Linked DNA regions of Callithrix jacchus. The protein of the gene in region 1 purifies or fractionates together with the protein of each later gene. This does not show direct contact. Links are inferred from orthologs where the notes say so. Each region holds a gene or a part of one and is shown on either strand. Other genes may lie near its edges.

Region 1 (11,450 bases):
AGGAAAGAATGCTTTTACTTTTTCACTCTATATTCACATTTAGTGTCTTTTTAATGAGAATAGTTTATATCATTTGTATGATTTTTAAAAACACAACGTATTTTTAAAAAGAGGGCTTGCAAAAAAAAAAAAAAAGGAGGACGTTCATCCAGGTGCAGTGGCTCACATTTGTAATCCCAGCAGTTGGCTGAGGTGGGCAAATGCTTGAGTCCAGGAGTTCAAGACCAGCCCAGGCAACATGACAAAATCCCATCTCTACAGAAAGTACAAAAATTAGCTAATGTGGTGGTGTGGGCCTGTAATCCCAGCTACTTGGGAGGCTAAGTCATGAGAATCACTTGAACCCAGGAGGCGGAGGTTGCAGTGAGCCAAGGTCACACCACTGCACTCCAGCCCGAGCAACAGAGCCAGAACCTGTCCCTCCCCATCAAAAAGAAAAAAAGAGGGCTTGCAAAGATTTGAAGGCCAGGTGAAACTCTGTTACACGAATTTGAATATGCCACAATTATAAATTTTACATTTATTTAAGTTATCTTTGATCAACGTCTGTCTCTACCATTCAAGTCGAAGGGCCAGGAGACAGGAATGAAGCCTATTTTTGTTCATCCAAGTATGTCCAACACTTAGCAAAGTACCTGGCACAGGTGCTCCATAAATATTTACTGAATGAATGAATGAATGAATGGGATGAGTAGCAGGTGGCCTATTGTCTTTGGCTTTGGTTGGCAGAGCTGCTTCACTCTAATTGGCTCTCTCTGAATGACTTTGTTCCTTATGCTTCAATATCTAGAGCATGAGCTGGTGCAGACTAGAGATGCCCTTTTACCTGCTTGTATATATATATATTTTTTTGAGACAGTGTTTTACTCCCACAGCCCAGGCAGGCTGGAATGCAATGGCGCGATCTCAGCTCACTGTAACCTGAGTCCAAACTCAAGTGATTCTCCAGTGTCAGCCTTCCGAGCAGCTGGGACTATAGGCACACACCACCGCACCCAGCTAATTTTTGTAGAGATGGGGTTTCACCACGTTGCCCAGGCTGGTCCTGAACTCCTGAGCTCAAGCAATCCACCCACCTCAGCCTCCTAAAGTGCTGGGATTACAGGCATGAGCCACCACGCCTGGCCTTGCCTGTGTTAATTGGCTAACCTAGGTCCTCACCAATGCTGGGAAGCCAATAATCCATAGGTCTGGATCAATGTACCATACTCAGAAGATATAGTTTAATATATGTGAGAGACACAAAAGAATCAGGAGATTGATCCAGGCAAGGGAAAACTGCATGGGAGCAAATGGATCGCTAGGGGAAAAATGAAAAGAAAACCATAAATGACAAATGTAGAAATTAAAATCAATACATAATATGGGGATGGCTTTTTTGGTTGTTTATAAAATGTCTACACAATTTATTCATTTCTAGAAAATGTTTTAGAAAATTTCTGTGAGTTTCAGTGGACTCTCATTGGAGTTTAGCATTAGCTAAAAACTGGTATATTTGTTTCAGTAGCACATTTTTATTCTGGCTCCAAATATTTGCAAAGAGCAAATATCACCATGTTAATGTGGTTTCTTCTCTTTATATAAAGCAGTTTTATTCGCAGTAGTTCATGATGGTTTACAGCAACATTTCCAATGTAATTATATTGACTGTAGAGAATGACTTGGGTGCCAAATGGTTAAGAAATTCTAAATTTGTAATAATATGTTATAGTTTGGTAATAATTTCTTTCCTGTCTTTTTATTGATATATAATACTAGCATGTATTTATGGGGTACACGTGATATTTTGTTATAGCCATCACTTTGAACATTTATCAATTCTTTGCATTGGAAACATTTCAAATCTTCTAGCTATTTTGAAATACACATATTTTTGTTGACTATCATCATCTTACTGTGCTATTGAATGCATTCCTGTTTTTATTAGTATTTAAAGGGAAAATTTAATGTTGTCACTATTTTTTTTGCAAGGGCAACAGATATCAAAATATTAGATGTATATTTCCCTTCACTCAGCAATTCCACCAACAGGAATTTCTCTGACAGTTACATTCACAAAAGAAGACCAAAATATATTATAGAATAGTTTTAAGAGCAAAAAGGAATTCACACAATTTAAATGTCTATTAGTGGGGGAATGGTAAACAAATTGTAATACAGGCACATGAAAAAATACCATGCAGCGACAATTAAAATGAGATAGATCTCTAAGTGATGGCACAAAAGGATGTCCATGATATATTGTTAAACGAAAAAAAAAGAGATGTGTACAATGAGGTTCATGTGAGACCGTTTGTGTAAAAAATATATATATATATATATATATATATATATAAATACACGGATGCATATCTGGGCTGCTTAATACAAAATGTCTTTCTTTTTTTCTTTTTCTTTTTCTTTTTTTTTTTGAGACAGAGTTTTGCTCTGTTGCCCAAGCTGGAGTGCAATGGCGCAATCTTGGCTCAGTGCAACCTCAACCTCCCGGTTCAAGCGATTCTCCTGCCTCAGCCTCCCAAGTAGCAGGGATTACAGGCATGTGCCACCACGCCCAGCTATTTTTTGTGTGTGTATTTAGTACAGATGGGGTTTCACCATGTTGGTCAGGCTGGTCTCGAACTCCCGACCTCAGGTGATCCACCTGCCTCCGCCTCCCAAAGTGCTGGGATTTCAGGCATGAGCCACTGCACCCGGCCATACAAAATTTCTAGAAAGATACACAAGTAGCTGTTAACAGTGATTATTTCTAGGGAATGGAACCTACTTTCCATTTAATATACTTTACATTATTTTAATTTTGAACCTTGTGTATATAAGTCCATTTTGGCTTAATTTTCTTAACATGGTTAAAAGTTCAAATGCTTAAAAGGGGGATATAGAGACAACTAAATATTCCTTCTACCTCAGTCTCCATTCCTAGAGGCAGCCACCATGACTAGTTTCTCATCTAACTTCCCAAAGATAGTTTATGGACCATGTATTGTTTTAAACATTTAAAATGCTAGTGTAAAAAAAACTAAAGATGAACTTTGTCATATCATTGTATAGTTCTGATAATCGAGAAGTTGCTAAATAAGTCCCCTGTTTTAGCAATTTCATCTTAACCAGATGATTTCTCTACCCTATTTTATAAGGTAAGTGACTCATCTATAGTTGGCAAGTGACAGAACCAGGATTCCAATACAGGTCTGCACTCAGATCCCAGGCGTGATTATGCCATATTGCTACACTCTGGCCCGAATTGCCATCTCCAAAGTTATATTTTCCCTGGCCTCTGTGACCAAGAGTATAGCAATTGGAGCTCCATGAACTGCTTTACTTCCCCCTTGGAAGTAAAGCGGTAGCTTGGCAAAAGGGTGCAGATTAGGATATACACAGAAGGTTAGCTTGGAGAAGAGGTGTGAGTTAGGATGTTAGGATACACCCAGATTCTGGAAGGTTAGGAGGCAAAGCTTAGGACACATATGAACATTATTTCAAAGCAAAACCATGGCTTCATACTTTGCCTGATTTACACAGCACGCTGGATGTACAAATGCCTCTGAAATTGCTGTCAAACTCAGAAACACCAGCAGGGGACACTAGAACTCCAGAGAAGACTACATTCAAAGACACTACCAACATAGACCAGCAGAGGCTACTGCAGACAATTCTACCTCAAATCCAAACTGCATGAGTTATTAAAGCAGACTACCTTTCCATGTAAAGGGAGGCAATGATCCAGTTTCTTATCAAGCTTCCAGGAATCCATCTGGATCTCTGCCTCTCCAAGGAAAGTGTTTCTGCCAAAACGGCCGTGATGCCAAACTGAGAACTGCAGGGTCCTCCGGGCCAGGAGAGATTCTGGGATCTCATACTGGGAAGGGAAAGTAGAAGCCCAAGATGATTATTAGTTTAGGATAATTCCTCAGACAAGAATATTCCAAAACCTGAGCAACCATTCCTGAAGTCACTAGTCCTGAATACCAAATTCCTTTATATTCCCTAAGCACTTTGAGTTTCCTCACTCAAAGCCTCAACTTACCTCATTTTATAAAAAACCTACCATATTCCATAGGAAGATCTGGAAAATTAGATTTTCCTTGAGTAGGTGAGAGAATACTGAGTCGTCCAAAAACAACTGACAAGGAGATTCCTTATCTCAAATGTCTTTTTAAAATGAGATTTGTGGCCATGTGAATCTCCAACTTCACAACAATCCAGGAAAGGCGGAGCACCTTTGTTCTCTTCACTGGGAAATCAGGATGTGAACAGGTACCCAATGTATCCTCACACACAGACATGGCCCACTGAAACTCATGTCACCTGGCCATGTTGCAGAGGAATAGTTACAGCCTCGGGCACAAGACAAAACAGGTTCTTCTACCCTTGGGGTCTAGATACTTACCCTGAGGGTCTCATCATATAGTGGATTAATGGTATCCCGCTTGATACTAGTTTTTCTTTTTCCTTGGCGGGATTTGTCAGGCAGAAGGTAAGTCTTCACATACCTAGAAACCAAAGAGTATACTGAGTAATTTGCTGGCCTTTCTCAAGCCTGCTCTTCACTTTCCTGCTCTCCATATGAATATGGCATGGTGATATGTGATGTCAAAAATGTCACCTCAAGCCCTCTTAGACATGCCATTCTTGCTTTTTCCCCAATCCTGGTTCCTTTCCTACATCACACCTCCCTGCTCCCAAGGAAAGGGATAAGCTCTGTTCAAGAGTGCCCAGACAGATGCTGGGGTCTGTTCTCCAGTCTCAGAGCATCAGTCAGGTTCCAGAAGCACTCACGGGTTAGAGCGCTTCTTGGCTTCATCAGCATAGGCCAGCTGGTGGCACTCCTTCACATGGACGACGAGACTCTGTGTTTGCTGTTCATACTTCAGGGAAAAGGCAATCCTGCCAGTCACAGAGACGTTCCCGAAGTCACCAGCTTCACTGTAGATGCTCATCATGCTGCCGATTGTACTCTGAAGAAAAAGCACTCACGAACATCTGGGGAAGGCACACTCCACCCCCGCCACATTGTTCATATCTTCCCTCATGATAAAGCCACAGTCACTGAACAGAAGATTCAGAAGCCCCTGCAATGATCCAGTGCTGCCCACACTCCTTGACCCAGAGGGTAAAAGAGAACTACCAGGACTCATAACTGTTCAGGTGAATAAATCAGTTCATGGCTCACCTAGCCTCTTAGCTTCTCTTCTTCTCCTGGTTGTACAAATTTTAGTGTTCATTTTCATCTGCCCCAGGAGGCGGGCAGGGAGCAGAGGCAAGGTGCACGTAAGTCCATTTGGGAACTGTGTTATATACACTAAAACATCGGCTAGAATGGTGTTAGTCACTAACTAAAACAAGGTGGGTTTCTCTTATCCACCTTATGTCTATCAGGACCTATAGAGAAAAGAGATTCAGCCAGAATTGGGAGTGAGTGGGAAGGAGGAAACCCGACCAGAAGTGAAAAGGCACCTTCCTTTCTGGTAGTAATTGGTCTTGTGAGCTGACCTTCTCTTCCTGTGAATGTGAACAAACTCTGTTTACTCTTGTTCTTGACTCTTTCCCTAAATATCAATCTCCATGCTTATAACAGAACCAGGCCCTGATTCATAAATGTTCCCTTAACTTCATTATCCTTACTGGTGTTGTTGATTGTTAGCCATACCCTGATGTTGACTAACCCTGCCAGGGCCCCTCTCATGACACTCACTTTCCTTTAATGTTGGGAATTTAGAGTGCGCTATGATGAAGAAATCTGATCTTGCTCACTTCACAGCCTGGGTACCTCTTTAAAGGATAAGTTGAGGTTATTGCTCACAAAGCTGTGATGAAGAATGTCCCCAGCCTTAATTATCTATATGTAATAATCTCCAGGATGGGGACTCAGGAAGTCACCTAGATGTACACTAAGCATCTATAGTCTAAATTGAGGATAGGAACAAACAAACGCATCTTACTTACCTGAAAAGAGTGACTAGGATGGTTTCCCCAGGTCCCGAGTCTGCTCTAGGGAGGTGCTTCTTTTCTTCCTAGCACCCCAATATGCCTATACCCACAGATCTAATAGAACTTACCATGGAGGAGCCACTTTGCATGCTGCTTCTGGCTAACTTCTGGCGATGTAACTTCACTAAGTAGTCAATGTCTTCTTCTTCTTCTTCTTCTTCTTCTTCCTCTTCCTAGAACAATATAGATTCAGAATTAATAAAAGAAATACCTTTCTTTAGCTTCAAAGACTAACACCTTTCCTTTAGTGGGAGCCATAATTGTCATAAAGCTCCGAGTTGTATGTATATGCACATATTCTTCTTTTTATATGTCTTCCCATTTCAGGCTTCCCAGCTCTATTCCAACCATCCTTCTCATATCTCAAAGAATAAGATAAGAATATTTAATGTTTTTCATAAAAGCTATAACTCTTTTCCATTAGACTTTCCCCAACCCAGCTATCTCTTTATATTTTAACCAAGAGAAGTATTTATTTGATCCCCAGTCATATATCCAGCAATTTATTAGAAAATAAAAGAGATGGCCAGGCATGGTGGCTCATGCCTGTAATTCCAACACTTTGGGAGGCAGAAGAGTGTAGATTACTTGAGCTCAGGAATTCCAGACTAGGCTGGGCAATATAGTGAGACACCCATCTCTCCCAAAAAAAAAAAAAATGAATGAAAGAAATTAGCCAGGTATGATGATTCATGCCTAAAGTCCCAGCTACTCAGGAGGCTGAGGTGAGAGGACAGCTCGAGCCCAGGAGTTCAAGGTGGCACTGAGCTATAATTGTGCCATTACACTCCAGCCTGGGCAACAGAGTGAGACACTGTGAAAGAGAAAGAAAGAAAAGAGATAGCAAAGACAGTCCTTTCCTTTAAGCAAATCAGGAACCAGATTTACTTCAGAAATTTGGGGTATCAAGTTTCATGTTGCCTTTTCCTAAAGAATTAAATAGGTTGATTGAGAATCTCAGGTACTAAAGCCAAATCTAGATAAATAAAATTTCATATAGTGACAGTAAAATACAAGGGCACTTACCATATCTACATTGAGGCCTGGGACAGATTTGCTTCTGTCTCCCAAGGGGCCACTTTCTGGGCGAAGATCTATCACAGACTTGGTGTACTCTGAGGAGAAAACCAAAAAGCCAAATCAGAAGAAACCTATTCTTCTCCTTACCAAGAGCCCATCAAGGGTACTCAGAACTTTAGTCCCAAAAGACCAGTAAGGGAAACCAGTTACCTGACGGCCTGAGGATTTTCCTGGTATTCTTCTTAAATATCATCTCACCCTCATCCACAAATACCACATTTTGACATCCAGGCTGAGTTTCCTAGAAAGGAACAAGGGCACGAAAATGGAAAAGGACAGATGGACAGGTAGAAGGAGTAAGGAAGGATAGCCTTAAGAAGAATGAGGCTCAGATTTTCCCGAAACTATGACAAACTTAAAGGAAAGATTATGTGCCTAGGAATAGTACAAAACCTATTTTCTCACACATTTCAACCAAAACCTTAGAAAATGCTCCCAAGTGACTCTGAACTGAAATTTGTTTAGTTAAATTCCTGATTCAAATTCTGCCTAAGAGAATGGAGGGAGGGAGGGAAGAAAGAGGAAGAGAAGAATGAAGGGGAGGGAGGAAGGGAAAGATGGAGGGAGACAGGGAGGTAAAGGAGGAAGGGAAGGAAGGGAGGGAAGGAAGGTGGCTCAGTAACCTGCAGCTTACCTTTTCTACTTGAGATTTGGGAACAGACATCTTCTTCCATTCTGGAAAGAGGCCAGATTTTTCCAGAGAGTCTCTCCTGGAGATAGATTCACAAGTTATAACTAAGTCACCTCCTCCCCTTCCCCTTGCACCCAGAGATCAAAGCTCTATGGAAGGAAAGCCAGTGCCTTGGGTCATGGTAATAACCAAATTCAGAAGGTATACTTCACATCTGATTTACCTGGAAGGAATGCAGAAGATCAGATAAGCAACTTTGCACAAACACAAACACTCAGATCCCTCATTCTTAAAGGACAGCAGCATCAGTTGCTACAGGGCTAAGAAGAATACTCCAAGGTACTGGGGGAATTGACTGGGGAAGCCAATATGATCCAGGAAGCTGTGCTCAGAGCCAAATCAGTACACGTGCTACGGAAAAGACTTCTGGTGAGGTCAGAGGAAATACTCCATTCAACTTCCTGAGGACAGAAGTCAGGAACACTGATGCTGCAGAACAAAATCGCAACTTGGGTAGTGTGGAGATGAGAGAAATGAGGAAACCTCACCTGGAGGTGCTATCTGAGTCAGCTGTGAAGCTATCCAGACTCTCACTCTCAGTTTCCAATGCACTCTTTCCACTTTTCAGCTTTGGCACTTCAAATAGCACACTACAATAAAAACCAAGAGCCAATATTGAAAGGAAGCAGGTTCTACCTCTAGTCAGGCCTCTTTCCAATCCGTTCACAATTGTAGCCTGAGCGATTTTTCTAAAATAAACATGGGTGTACTTTAAACATATAATAATTTTAATTAAGAAATAGGGTCTCGCAATGTTGCCCAGGCTGGAGTGCTGTGGCTATTCACAGGTGCCATCATAGTGCACTATAGTCTCTAATTCCTAGGCTCAAGTGATCCTCCTGCCTCAGCCTTCTGAGTAGCTGGGAGTACAGGCATGCACCATGGTGCCCAGCTGAGAATACTTCTTTTTTTTGAGATGAAGTTTCACTCTTATTGCCCAGGCTGGAGTGCAGTGGCGCCATCTCAGCTCACTGCAACCTCTGCCTCCCAGGTTTAAGCAATTGTCCTGCCTCAGCCTCCCAAGTAGCTGAGATTACAGGCATGCACCACCACACCCTGCTAATTTTTTGTATTTTTAGTAGAGATGGAGTTTCACCATGTTCCAGGCTGGTCTTGAACTCCTGACCTCAGGTGATCCACTTGCCCTGGCCTCCCAAAGTACTGGGATTACAGGCGTGAGCCACTGTACCCAGCCTCAGTATACTTTTAAAACTCTTGAGCAGTTTTCCATTGCTTTTGGGATTTAGCTGAAACTCCTTAGCATGGCAAGAATATCCACATGATTTGGCCCCTGCCACCCTTCTCCACTCTCATCTTTCACCCCCACTCCTCCTCAAACTTTATATTTCAGAAAGATGAAGCTATTTTGGTTCTCTGAATATCCTGAAGCTCTCCATCTTCCCTCTTTTATCTGCCTAGGATGTTCTTTTCACAATGGCCACTTTTCTTCACCTGGCTAAATCTACTCCTTCTTCAGATCTCTCCTTATATGTCAATTCCTCCATGTCTCTCAGGCCACGCCCCTACCCTAAATCTGGATTAGTAAGCTTCCTCTGTGCTCCCATAGCATCCTGATTTCTTACCAACAGTCACCACATATGTAACTATTTGTTTATGTCTTTTAAACAAATTATTTATTTTGTTCAATAATTTAAACAAATTAATGTCTTTCTCCTCCATTCGGCAAAGTTCCATAAGACCAGTGACCACATATCTTATTTACCAATGTGTTCCCAATGCCTTGAAGAGAGACTAGCATAGAGTGTGTACCCAAGTATTTTTATTGACTGAATTCTTGAATAAATGCCCTCAGTGGGGCTGAGATACAACCATAAATAAGCAGTATGTCTAGAAGACAGTATTCAAGTGACCAGAAATCTTTTTTAGCTTAATTGCCTTCATGAAGGATGACTCTGGGAATTCAAAACAGCAGTTCTCATCTTTCAAGGAAAGGACACCATTCCTGGGGCCCCTTACCTCAAAGAATTAGTGAGAGAAGTAGGAAAAGGGGGGAAAAAATCCATTCTTCCTTGAATATCTCAAATAACTTCCCCTGGCTCCCAGGACACCACACTCTCCTGGTTTCCTCTTCCAACCTCCCTGGCTGCTGCTTCTCAGTCTCCTTTGCTCGTCCCTACTCCTCCTGTAGACCTCTAATATTTTAATGGTGTCCAAACTTCTTCCTCGGGCTGTTCCTCCTCTCTATTTAGAATTATCCCTAAATGATCTCATCTATTCTCATGGCTTTAAATATCCTCAATAAGTTAAAAACTCAATTTTATTTATTTTTACTTATTTTTTATATTTTTTAAGATGGAGTCTCTGTCACCCAGGCTGGAGTGCAGTGGTACAGTCTCGGCTCACTGCAGCCTCCATCTCCTGAATTCAAGTGATTCTCCTGCCTCAGCCTTTTGAGTAGCTGGGATTACAGGCTTGTGCCACCACACCTAGCCAATTTTTGAATTTTTAGTAGAGACAGGGTTTCACCATGTTGGCCAGGCTGGTCTTGAACTCCTGACCTTAGGTGATCCACCCGCCTCAGCCTCCCAAAGTGCTGGAATTATAGGCGTGGGCCACCGTGCCCAGCCTCAAATTTTCTCGTACTCAAACTCCAGACTTGTTTTTCCAATGGCCTACTCAATGTCTCCACTTGGATGTCTCAAACACAGCAAACCCAAAACCAGAGCCCTAACCCTCCTCCAAAGCTGCTCTTTGCTCTGTCTCATCAAATGGCAAATTTCTCCTTTCATTTCTCAAGTCAAAAACGTTAAGAATCATCTGTTACTCTTTTTCTCACATTACAAATAAAATCTGTTGGCAAATCACCTTCAATGTATACCTAGACTCTGATCCAGTCTCCCTGCCTCCATTGCCATTACTCTGGTCCAAACCACCATCATCAAGCTCCTGGATGGTTGTAGTAGCCTCCTAACTAATCCTGCTTCTTCCCTTGTCCCTATACAATCTATCCAGAACACAACAGCCAGAATGAGCTTTTAAAATATAAATCAGACATAGAACTATTATATGACCCAGCAATTCCACTCCTTGGTACCTACACAACAGAACTGAACAATAAATGTCCACACAAAAACGTTACGTGAATGTTCATAGCAGCATTATTCATAATAGCCAAAAGGTGGAAACATCCTAAATGTCCATCAATGCATGACTAGACAAACAAAATGTGGCATATTCATATAACCAATTATTCATCAATATAAGAAAATGAAATCTAGATACATGCTACAACATGGATGAACTTTGAAATCATTATGCTACTTGAAAGAAGCCAGCCACAAAAGGCCACATACTGCATGACTGAATTTATAGGCAATGTCTAGATTAGGCAAATCCATCAAGACAGAAAGCAGATTAGGGGTTGGGGTAAATAGAGGTGATTACTTAATGGCTATGGGGTTTCTATTTGGGGTGGTGAAAATGTTCTAAAATTAGATCGTGGTGATGATTGCACAATGTTCTCAAAGTACTAACAACCACAGAATTTTATATTTTTAAATGGTTAAGATGATGATTTTACGTTATATAAATTTTACCTCCATTTTTCATAAGAAGACAATATAAAGCTGTGTCCCTCAGAGCCATCTTTCTTACTTGGAGTAAAAGACAGAATGCTTACAAGTGCCACCAAAGTCTTAACATGATCTGCTTCTCACCTCATCTCTGTCCT
Region 2 (11,957 bases), on another chromosome or scaffold:
AAAAAGGCAGGGAGGGTGTCGGGGAGGAGGGGTAAGTTCACGAGGCCACGACACACCACAGCTGAGCTGGGAAAGGGTTATATGTACAGGATGGGCAGGGCTGGGGTCGGGCAGGGGAGCCCGGGCCCCTGCGGGACATCTTCAATAAATAAATAGCTACAATAATAAATAAGGGTGGCGGGCTAAGTTGGGAGTGGGGGTCTTGTGCCCATGGCTGGTGGGGGCCGGGTCAGGCCTGGGGAGGTGGGGGGAGGTGGGGAAGAGGGGCAAGGGGGCCGGGTGGCTCTCAGCAGGCGCAGTCCTGGTGTGGCGGCACCTGCTGGTCACTGAGCTGCGGGCCCTGCTTGGCGCCTGTGACCGCAGGGTCCGCCGTGTCCAAAGACTCCGACATCTTCTCACAGATGACGTCCACCAGGCGCTCAAAGGTTTGCTTGACGTTAATGTTGTCCTTGGCGCTTGCCTCGAAGAACTCGAACCCTGTGGTCAGAGAAGGCAAGGATGAGGACCCTGGCCATGCCCCACGCCAACTCCTAGAGATGCCTCTCTCAGCAAAGGGAACACCTGGAGAGTCTTGTGCCAAGCAACTTATTGAAGGTACTGACAAGTCCTGCAGGGAAGCCACATTGAACTGGGTCGACTGCATTTCCTTTTTTGTTTCTTTGTTTTTGAGACAGGGCCTTGCTCTGTTGCTGAGGATGGAGTATGGTGGCGTGATCATAGCTTGCTGCGGTCTTGACCTCCTGGGCTCAAGTGATCCTCCACCTCAGCCTCCTGAAGTACTGGGATTACAGGCATGAGCTACTGCGTCTGGCTTCCTGCCCTTCCTTCCTAAAAGTGTGTCTCACTGTCCTTAGGGACCTGGCAAGACATGCCCAGCCCCATGCACTGGGCCTGGAAGCCTCTGACTCTCAGATCCAGCCGTGACCTCCCCCTGCTCACACACCCTCTGTGGCTCCTTATTGCCCTCCAAAGAGTCCCGGCCTCTCAGCACATGGTTGAGGCCCTCTCTAATTAGCCACACTTCCTCCAGCTGATCCTCCTGTTCCAGTCATGTGAAACTATTACCAAAACACACAGGAGCTTTCTCACCGCAAGCGTTTACCCAAGTTGTTTCTTCTGCCTAAAACACCCTTCTTCCAAGCACTAGAGCCCACTGCCCGCCTCTCCAGGAAGCCTGGCTCCCACCATGGGCTCCTCCTGCCTAGGTCCCTCCCTCCACCCCAGAGGTCCCTCGAGGTACCCCTACCTGCCTCTCAAGCCCAGCACCACCCAACAAAGTGTTGGACGGTGAGAATCAGAATAAACCTTTAACTTTCTGCGCAGCGAACTCCTACATAGCCCTCAGGGTCCAACTCAAATGGCTCCTGGATGAAGGCAAGTTTGCAGAACATGTGAATGAATTACCTGACTTAGCTGTAAGACCTTGGGTTCATGCCCTCCCCTCTCTGGACCTCAGTATCCTTTTTCTAGCCTTGCAGGTCTCTGGCCCGGCTGGGCACTCACCAAGGTGGTCAGCTAGCTGCCGGCCACGTTCTGACGACACCACCCGCTCATCCTCCATGTCACACTTGTTTCCTACCAGCAGCACCTGGGCATTGTCCCACGAGTAGGTCTTGATCTGCGTGGACCTGCAGGAGGCAGCAATGGGGACAGCTTAGAGCGTCGAGGATCCCAGCTCCACCCTGACGGGCTGCTGTGGAGCCTGCGTCCTTGTCCCAGGGAGGAAGACCCTGAAGCTCGGCCCTCCATCCTCCCCACCATCCTTTCCCCTGTGTGCTCCTCGTTCCCCCCACTCCAGCCCCCAGTTGACCCGTTACTGTTTGTGTGTTTGGGGTTTTTTGAGATGGAGTCTCACTCTTGTTGCCCAGGCTGGAGTGCAGTGGCACGATCTCCACTCACTGCAACCTCTGCCTCCCAGGTTCAAGTGATTCTCCTGCCTCAGCTTCCCAAGTAGCTGGGACTACAGGTATGAGCCACTACGCCTGGGTAATCTTTTGTGTTTTTAGTAGGGGCGGGTTTCAGCATGTTGGCCAGGATGGTCTCAAACTCCTGAGCTCAAGATCTGTCCATCTTTGCTTCCCAAAGTGCTAGGATTACAGGCGTGAGCCGCTGTGCCTGGCCCAGAACTCTTTTCAAAGAGTTTTTACTTCTGAGCAGAAAATTGCAATGTTTGCCACCTCTAACCAGCTCTCCTTAAAGTCTCTGTCTCCACCCTACACTTGCAGCTATTTTTTTCTATATGTTTACAGTTTTACTTTTCTAGCTGAAATCCTTCCCTGATCCCTACCTTTTATTTATTTATTAATTATTTTTTAGAGACGGAGTCTCGCACTGTGGCCTAGGCTGCAGTGCAGTGGCGCAATCTCTGCTCACTGTAACCTCTGCCTCCCAGGCTTTAAGCACTTCTCCTGCCTCAGCCTCCCAAGTAGCTGGGAATGGCAGGTACCCACCACCACGCCCAGCTATTTGTTTGTACTTTTAGGAGAGACAGGATTTCACTATGTTGACCAGGCTGCTCTCGAACCCGTGACTTTGTGATCCGCCCCCCTCAGCCTCCCAAAGCGCTGGGATTACAAGCATGAGCCACCACACCTGGCCTATTTCTTTTTTGGGAGCAACTTTGTCTCAGAGACAATGGTCCCAGAATGAGTGTGGAAGGCCAGGAGCAGTGGCTCACGCCTGTAATCCCAGCACTTTGGGAGGCTGAGGCGGGCAGATCACTTGAGCCAAGGAGTTCAAGACCAGCCTCGGCAAAATAACAAAACCCCATCTCAACTAAATATAGAAAAACTTAGCCAGGTGTGGTGGTGTGCGCCTGTAGTCCCAGCTACTTGGAAGGCTGTGGCAGGAGGATTACTTGAGCCCAGGAGGTCGAGGCTGCAGTGAGCCTGGACTGCAGTCTGGGCGACAGAGTAAGACCCTCTCTCAAAAAAAAAAAAAACAGTGAGTGGGGTGTACTCACCAGTCCTGCACAGCATTGAAGGACTCTTCGTTGGTGATGTCATACATGAGGATGAAGCCCATCGCGCCCCGGTAGTAGGCAGTGGTAATGGTCCGGTATCGCTCTTGCCCTGCTGTGTCCTAGAGAGGAAGAGATAGAGATCAGAGAGGACCCACACATCAGGCCCTCAGAGAGGAAATGAGCTCTGATATCACCCAGTTCAGCCCCCTGGGAGAAGTAGGAGCTTGCTCAGGAGCACAGTGTCAGGAAGAGCAGGCTCGGTCATAGTGCTCAGAGTGTATGAGTGCTCCATCATCCCACAGAGTCATTCAACAAACATGTCCTGTGCAGGGTGCTGTGGCTCACACCTGTAATCCCAGTACTATGGGAAGCTGAGATGGGCAGATGGCTTGAACCCAGGAGTTCCAGATCAGCCTGGGCAACATAGCGAGACCCCTTCTCTACAAAAAAATATAAAAATGAATGCGGCATGGTGGCTCACAGCTGTAGTCCCAATACTCAGGACGCTCAGGTAAGAGGGTCGCTTGAGCCCGGGAGGCAGAGGTTGCAGTGAGGTGAGATCGCACCATTGCAGTTCAGCCTGGGCAACAGAGTGAAACCCTGCCTCAAAAAACAAATGGGGCCAGGTGTGGTGGCTCATGCATGTAATCCCAGCACTTTGGGAGGCTGAGATGGGCGGATCATGAAGTCACGGGTTTGAGACCAGTCTGACCAACATGGTGAAACCCTGCCGGGCGTGGTGGTGCACATCTGTAATCCCAGCTACTCAGGAGGCTGAGGCAGGAGAATCACTTGAACCCGGGAGGCGGAGGTTGCGGTGAGTCAGGAGCACACCATTACACTCCAGCCTGGGTGACAGAGTGAGACTCTTGTCTCGAAAAATAATAAACAAACATGGACTGGACGCTGATCTTTGCCACACCCTGAACTAGACACTGGGGACACAGTTGTTAACAAATGGGCAGAACTCCCTGCCTTGCTAAGTGACACCCCAGTGTGAGAAACAGAAAATAACAGGTAAATGTATCCTATATTGGAGGGTGACAAGGACCAAGAAGAAAAATCAAGCCATCTTTTCCAAAGATGGAGAGAATAGAACTGTAGGTTTAAAAACTAAAGGAAGCCGGACTCAGTGGCACGCGCCTGTTCTCCCAGCTACTTGGGAAGCTGAGGCAGGAGGATCACTTGAGCCCAGTTCAAATCCAGCCTGGGCAACAGAGTGAGGCTCTGTCTCTTAAAACTAAGAAGGCCAAGTGGGATGGCTCATGCCTGTAACCCCAGCACTCTGAGAAGCTGAGATGGGAGGATCACTTGAGCCCAGGAGTTCAAGACCAGCCTGGGCAGACATAGCCATACCCTGTCTCTTATAAAAGGAAAAAACTTCGCAGGCGTGGTGGTGCACGCCTGGAATTCCAGCTACTTGGGAGGCTTAGGTGGAAGAATGGCTTGAGCCCAGAAAGTAGAGGCTGCGGAGAGCCATGATCATGCGACAGCAATCCAGCCTGGATGACAGAGCAAGATCACCCTGTCTCAAAAAACAAACAGAATGGTGATGAAGTTGCCTGGGCTCGGTGGCTCACGCCTGTAATCCCAGCACTTTGGGAGGCCCAGGCAGGTGGATCATGAGGTCAGGAGTTCAAGACCAGCCTGGCCAAGATGGTGAAATCCCATCTCTATTAAAAACTACAAAAATTAGCCGGGCACAGTGGCAGGCACCTGTAATCCCAGCTACTTGGGAGGCTGAGGCAGGAGAACCCTTGAACCCGGGCGGCAGAGGTTGCAGTGAGCCGAGATCACGCCACTGCACCCCAGCTCGTGAGGCAGAGTGAGACTCCATCTCAAATGAATAAAAAAAGAGAATGGGGACCAAGATCCAGCTGAAACCGCACACATGGAAGTACTTGAAGACAGGGAAACTGAGGCCCCAGGATTAGGCACTTATGGGAGAACACAGGTGCCATCTGTTTCTGCCCCTGGTACACAGCACGGACTTGCTAAATGCCCAGTGTGTAAGTGAGTGAGTGCAGCCAGGAAAGAGACACATGAGGTTGGGGCTGCTTTTCCAAAGACGGGAGCCCGAGAGAGCCCTCCAGCTGGGACCCACCCAGATCTGCAGCTTGATCCTCTTGTCATTTCGATAGATGGTTTTGACCTTGAAGTCGATGCCCACGGTGCTGACGAAGGCAGGGGTGAACGAGTCGTCGGCGTAGCGGAAGAGGAAGGATGTCTTGCCCACGCTGCTGTTGCCTATGATGAGAATCTTGAACATGTAGTCGAAGTTCTGATCCGAGGACTCCTTCTGCCCATAGCGCGAGTCTGTGGCGGATGCCATCTGGGGATACCAGGTATAGCGGAGCCGTGAGGGGGGCACCCTCCATCCTCATGTGTCCAAGCCCAGGCAGAGGATGGGGAGAGCTCCAGAAAGGGGCCAGTGTATGGAGACCACACTTATCCCATCAGGAGCCCCAGTATTCATTGGTGGTGCCCCCAGCAGAGGGCAGCCTGTGACCTTGAAATCCTGAACGTTTCAGAAGAGGGGCTCAGAGGGTCGCGGAACCCACTGGGAACACCCCAGCCTTCCAAGAGTCCTGTGCTCCAGGTGGGGCTGTAACCCTAAACCCAGGGCTGAGCCCAGAAGGGGTGACTGCGGCTGGCCCCGCCCCCTATCAATCTTTCATGGTCTCAGAACGCGGCCTCGCAGCCGCACGTGCACACGCGCGCATGGACCCTGGAGGACGCGCATCGGCAGCCACCTCTCTCCCAAACCTCCAGGCCAGAGAGCTCCGGCCAAGGCTGCTGCATTATATGATACAGGCGAGGCATGCACACGCTCACGTGCACGCAGCCTCAAACACGCTCATCCGTACATACAGGAGTGTGTAAACGCACTGGGGTGCACAGGACAAAGACACAGTCACCTGCTTGCACACCGATTCGCCTATAGAAATGTGCAAACCACCCGTGCGCACAGGCCCCTCCACACATGCAGGCGTGTGCACATCACCCACAGGGACACGGATCCCCGTGCTTGTAAGCAGAGACACTCATGCACAGGCGGTTCACACATCTTTCTCCACACGCGTGCAACATGCACACACTTAGGCCCGTGGGGGCATACGAGCATATCCAGGTGCACACGCAAGGGTACACACAAACCCGCTGACACAGGCGGGCGCGCACACGCGTGTGCACACCACGCGCACGCGCACGCAAGAGCCTCCCGCGCGCACAGCTTCTCGCAAGGCGCTTGCCTCCCCTCCCCCTCCGCCGCAGAGCGGGGGGTTGGGGGGTAGTGGTGAGGATCAGGCAGGAGCGGGGCGCCGGGGCCCTACCCACTCTCAGCCTCGCGACCGCGGCATCCTTCCCCCCATTCAACCCCGGCCAACCTCGTCCCGCACCTCCACCAGCCCGTCAGTCAAATGAAGGTTATGCAGGTGCTCAGAGCCGAAGCACACTCGGCCGCCCAGGAGCTCACCTTGCACTGCACCGATGCAACGGCGACCCTAGCGGCGGAGACTTTTCTGACGGTGGCAGTGACGGGGCCCCCTGTGCGTTGATGTGGGGCTGCGCGGCGGCGGCAGCGGCTCAGGCCCCTGCAGTCCTCAGTGACGTCCTGCAAAGGGAGGGGCGGGGCCTCACATGCAGTTAAATTCGTGACGCTATCCGGAGGCGGAGCCGCGCGCTGAGATGTGGCCCATTGACGCACGCAGAGCCAGATGGGGCGGGGCTCCTGCGAAGATTGACGCGCAAGTGGGGCGGGCCTAGCGTGTGTATTCACTAGGGGTGGGAGCGGGGCGGGGGCCGACTCCGCCTCGGGGAGGCTTAAGCCCTCGAGCGACGGGCCGACTAGCCAATCAGCGATTACATACTCCCCCCTCCTGTCCAATGGTGGCTTCTGGGCGATTGAAGGGCCGAGAGGCTGAGGCCTTGGCTGAGCCCGGGTCTTCGAGGGGCGGTTCCCTTCCCTGCCCGCGCCCACCCCAGGTAGGGGACTCGAGGCCATAGTCTAGTCCAAGGTGCTGTGACCTCTGTTAAATGCCCCCGACTCCCAATTGCAGAAAAGAACAACCGAGGCCCAAGAGATGTTTTACGCCCTCACATATATGGGGTTCAAAATAAATACACAAGAATAACCAGGGATCAAGAGGGGCCCCTGTCCCATTCCCGAGGCGTGAGACCCCCAAAGAGGGCGGGGCTAGTGAAGACTCCACCCCTCCCCCTTTTCTGAGGTTTAAAAAATAGAAAGAAGAAATAGAGGTCGAGAGAGCCACTCCTCTCCACCATTCCCAGAAAAGGAGGAAGGAGCGGGTGGACTCTCTGGGAACCCCCTCCCCTCCTTGCGCCCCGTCATCAAGAGGAAAATTCAAAGAAAAGGTTTAGTAGGGAAGGAGCAGCGACCTGTGCAGAAAACCCCTTGAAGCCTGCGGTAAATGCTCCGGGAACCCTCCAGCCCTTCAATGCTCAGGTCCAAAGACCCGGGGGCTGAAAGAGCCCCGCCCTCCATTCTGGGAAAGGAAACCTGAGAGAATGGGGCCTTTGGGGAGCTAAGATGCTCCACCGTGTATTCCTCCAAATCTTCAGGGAAAAAACTCAGAATGTGGGGAGGGGAGAGGAGCCCCAAACCCAGCCCCCGTTCCGGGGCTCCTGCGCCCCCTACTCCAGTTTTCAAACCCTCCAGGCGTGTGTGGTCGCCAGAAGAGTCCTGATCCCCTAGATCCTCCCCCTCCCCCCGCACAGTAGGCGGGGCTGGAGTTGGGGTGGGGGGGGAAACTCGTTCCTGTTTATAAAAAGCTCGCCAGCTGCGGAGGCGCCGAGAGACCAGAATAACTTAGCGCCTCGAGGCCCAGCCGCCGCCAACCCTGTCCCCAGCCCGCCCCCAGCACCCTGGAAGTACTGGGACGCCCCCCCCGCCCGCCCCGTCCCCTCTCCATTTGCATTTGGGAAATTTTTGTTTTCTTTTTAGGGTAACATATTTGCTCCCTTCCCCACCCCCCACCTCCACCACTAGGACTATAAAAGTATCACGAATCCACTGCGGAGAAATTGGGAACGTTCCGAAAAACAAAAAATAAAACAAAAAGAAATCCACCTCCCATTCTCCCCGCCCTCGCGCCCACGCGGACACCGGCAGTCCAGTTCGCTCTCTGTGGGGGGCTTCAGGGGAGAGGGTCCAGGCCCGGCTTGCGGCCCCCTTGGAGGGGAGGAGGTTTTAGGCTGCTCAGCTCCCTGATCGCCCAAAGGCACGCTTCCTACATGGGTGGCGCTCTCAGAAATACCTCCTGCCTTTTTTTTCCCCAGGAAGGGAAAAGTCAGCCACGAGAACGTGCAGAAGCTTCTGTCACTGACTTAGTATTTTAAAGTAAAAATAGCCGCGTACGGCGGCTAACGCCTGTACTCCCACCATTTTGGGGGACCAAAGCGGGAGGATCGCCTGAGCCCAGGAATTGGAGACCAGCCTGGGTAACATAGGGAGGCCCCATCTCTACAAAAAAATTTAAAAGCTGGGTGTGGTGGTGCGTGCCTGTGGTTCCAGCGACTCCCCAGCCTGAGGCAGGAGGATCACTTGAGCCCAGGAGGTCGAGGCTGTAGGAAACCGTATGGCGCCACTGCACTCCAGCCTGGACATCAGAGTGAGACCCTGTCTCAAAACTAATTACTTGGCCGGGCGCCGTGGCTCACGCCTGTAATTCCAGCACTTTGGGAGGCCAAGGCGGTTGGATCACCTGAGGTTAGGAGTTCGAGACCAGCCTGGCCAACATGGTGAAACCCCGTTTCTACTAAAAATACAAAAATTAGCCGGACATGGTGGCAGTCGCCTGTAATGCCAGCTACGCGGGAGGCTAAGGAGAATCGCTTGAACCCAGGAGGTGGAGGTTGCAGTGAGCCAAGATCGCGCCATGTCACCAGAGCAAGACTACGTCTCAAAAAAAAAAAAAATAACAGAAAAAAATACTTAATTTAAATTAAAGAAGAATGCAAGCCCTTGATTGTCCAGAGCAGCATTGGGCTCTGGAATTAGAAATGGATGAGCTAGGGGAGGGGCTGTGGGCTTGGGGCATTTTCTGTGTGGCCGGGAGACAGAGCCGTGGGAGAAGAAGGGGCTGTGCTTCCTTGCTGGCCCCACCCACAGGAAAGTCCAGAGCCCTCCCTGAGGCCACACCCGATCTTCTGCACCACACAAATAAAAGTAAAAATTTGGCCAGGTGCAGGGGCTCACACCTGTAATCCCAGCACTTTGGGAGGCTGAGGCAGGAGGATCACTCCTTGATCTTCAGGTCAGGAGTTCAAGACCAGCCTGGCCAACATGGCGAAACCCCATCTCTACTAAAAATACAAAAATTAGCCAGGTGTGGTGGTGCCTGCCCAGGGAGGCTGCTGGGGAGGCTCAGGCATAAGAATCAAAAGAACCAGAGAGGCGGAGGCTGCAGTGTGATGAGATTGTGCCTCCACTGATCTCCAGCCTGGGTGACAGAGGGAAACACTGTCACACACATGCACACACACACACACAAAGGTCAGGCATGGGTGGTGGCTCACGCCTGTAATCCCAACACTTTGGGAGGCTGAGGCAGGCAGACCACCTGAGGTCGGGAGTTCGAGACCAGCCTGACCAACATGAAGAAATCGTGTGTCTACTAAAAATATAAAATTAGCTGGGCGTGGTGGTTTATGCCTGTAATCCCAGCTACTCGGAAGGCTGAGGCAGGAGAATCGCTTGAACCTGGGAGGCGGAGGTTGTGGTGAGCAGAGATTGTACCATTGCACTCCAGCCTGGGCAACAAGAGGGAAACTCCATCTCAAAAAAAAAAAAAAAAGTATCCCAGATAGGGGCCCAGGGATGACTTCTCAGGGAAGAAGACACTAACTTAAAACCCCACGAGCGAGGCTGGGGGCTGAGAGAGAAGCATTCCAGGTAGGGGGCACGGCTTGTCTGAAGGCCTGTGGTAGGACCAGGCTTGCAGTGTGGCCAGAGCAGGTGCAGTCAGTGAGGGGAGAGGGGCAAAAGCCTGTGGCTGAAATTGAAGGGGAACATACGAATATTCATTTATAAAAAATATGAATATTCTAGGGCTGGGTGCAGTGGCTCATGCCTGTAATCCCAGCACTTTGGGAGGCCGAGGCGGGTGGATCACTTGAGGCCAGGAATTCGTGACCAGCCTAGGCAACATGGTGAAATCCTAGCGGTATGTGGTGGTACACACCTGAAGTCCCAGCTACTCGGGAGGCTGAGGCAGAAGAATCACTTGAACCAGGGAGGAGGAGGTTGCAGTGAGCTGAGATCACACCACTGCACTCCAGCCTCGGCAACAGAGTGAGACTCTGACAAAAAAAGAAAGAAAAAAGAAAAGGAAAGAAAAGAGACCAGGTGTGGAGGCTCACACCTGTAATCCCAGCACTTTGGGAGGCCGAGGTGGATGGATCACAAGGTCAGGATTTCGAGACTGGCATTACCAACACGGCAAAACCCCAACTCTCCTAAAAACACAAAAATTAGCCGGGCATGGTGGCAGGCACCTGTAATCACAGCTACTCGGGAGGCTGAGGCAGGAGAATCTCTTTAACCCGGGAGGTGGAGGTTACAGTGAGCCAAGATTGCACCATTGCACTCCAGCCTGGGCAACAAAGCAAGACTCCGTCTCAAAAAAAAAAAGAAAAGAAGAGGCCGGGCGCGGGGCTCAAGCCTGTAATCCCAGCACTTTGGGAGGCCGAGGCGGGTGGATCACGAGGTCAAGAGATCGAGACCATCCTGGTCAACATGGTGAAACCCCGTCTCTACTAAAAATACAAAAAATTAGCTAGGCATGGTGGTGCGTGCCTGTAATCCCAGCTATTCAGGAGGCTGAGGCGGGAGAATTGCCTGAACCCAGGAGGCGGAGGTTGCAGTGAGCCAAGATCCCGCCATTGCACTCCAGCCTGGGTAACAAGAGGGAAAACTCCGTCTCAAAAAAAAAATAAATAAATAAAAAGAAAAAGAAGAAGAGAGAAAAGAAAAGAATACGAATATCTTATAATGGATGGAGAAAAAAAAAACCAAAGGAAAATAAGTCAAAATACTGCAGGTGGATAATCTATGGGTGGTTATAACAGAATTTTATTTCCTTCTTTATACATTTTCGGTTTTTTCCAAATTTTCTACAGCTAACATGTATTACTTTGTGAGAGGACTGGAGGCGGGGATCTTGAAACAATAACAACAACAAAAAAAAAACCGAAATCTCTGCCGTTTAAAAGTCTGGAAGGGGGGCTGGGCGCGGTGGCTCACGCCTGTAATCCCAGCACTTTGGGAGGCCGAGGCAGGTGGATCACGAGGTCAAGAGATCGAGACCATCCTGGTCAACGAGGTGAAACCCCGTCTGTACTAAAAATACAAAAATTAGCTGGGAATGGTGGCGCGTGCCTGTAATCCCAGCTACTCAGGAGGCTGAGGCAGGAGAATTGCCTGAACCCAGGAGGTGGAGGTTGCGGTGAGCCGAGATCGCGCCATTGCACTCCAGCCTGGGTAACAAGAGCCAAACTCCGTCTCAAAAAATAAAATAAAATAAAAATAAAAGGCTGGAAGGAAACACACCAAGTTCGTGATCCCGGATGACTTTTAGCTCTGGCACTGTGGAATTTTATCATTAACTGCGATTATGATGAATTCGGAGTGGTTATAATATTTACGAACGAAGCCAGCTGCGCTGGAAGCCCACGGCGGCTGTGATGACGCCTGTATCTTGTATAAATTCTCAGGCACTCGAGGAGGGAGGCAGAGGGGAGGGGCGGATACTGAGGCTTCGGGAGGCGAGGATCAAACCCGAGGCTTGAGCACGGTGCCGCCCAGTCCGCTCGGAGGCCCGGCCAGCAGGACGAGCTGTTCCCGGCGAGGTGCGATAGGTGAAAGCATCAGGGCGGGAAGATGCCGCCCACCGACCCACCCTCCAACTCCCGACAAGCGCGTCCCGCCTGTCCCAAGCCTGCCACCAGGGGGCGCCGCTGGCTAACATTGGGTACC

What was found.
Region 2: the proteins of SYTL4 (region 1) and RAB3A purify together in Homo sapiens (affinity purification with mass spectrometry; 3 studies listed by BioGRID and IntAct, counting the BioPlex papers as one, with this or other methods). This does not show direct contact. The link is inferred for Callithrix jacchus from reciprocal best matches to the Homo sapiens genes SYTL4 and RAB3A.

The regions. Positions count from the first base shown.
Region 1 is NC_133524.1:96,990,770-97,002,219, forward strand, and holds part of SYTL4 (synaptotagmin-like protein 4), read right to left. Parts: intron 8,350-11,450; coding exon 8,248-8,349; intron 7,779-8,247; coding exon 7,703-7,778; intron 7,310-7,702; coding exon 7,219-7,309; intron 7,104-7,218; coding exon 7,015-7,103; intron 6,162-7,014; coding exon 6,057-6,161; intron 4,956-6,056; coding exon 4,777-4,955; intron 4,491-4,776; coding exon 4,388-4,490; intron 3,857-4,387; coding exon 3,695-3,856; intron 2,708-3,694; coding exon of another isoform or gene 2,477-2,707; exon of another isoform or gene 2,348-2,476; intron 1-2,347. UniProt on the Homo sapiens protein: Modulates exocytosis of dense-core granules and secretion of hormones in the pancreas and the pituitary. Interacts with vesicles containing negatively charged phospholipids in a Ca(2+)-independent manner.
Region 2 is NC_133523.1:16,908,325-16,920,281, forward strand, and holds the start of RAB3A (ras-related protein Rab-3A), read right to left. Parts: upstream 6,580-11,957; 5' UTR 6,361-6,579; intron 5,295-6,360; coding exon 5,067-5,294; intron 3,082-5,066; coding exon 2,963-3,081; intron 1,629-2,962; coding exon 1,504-1,628; intron 478-1,503; coding exon 287-477; 3' UTR 1-286. UniProt on the Homo sapiens protein: The small GTPases Rab are key regulators of intracellular membrane trafficking, from the formation of transport vesicles to their fusion with membranes.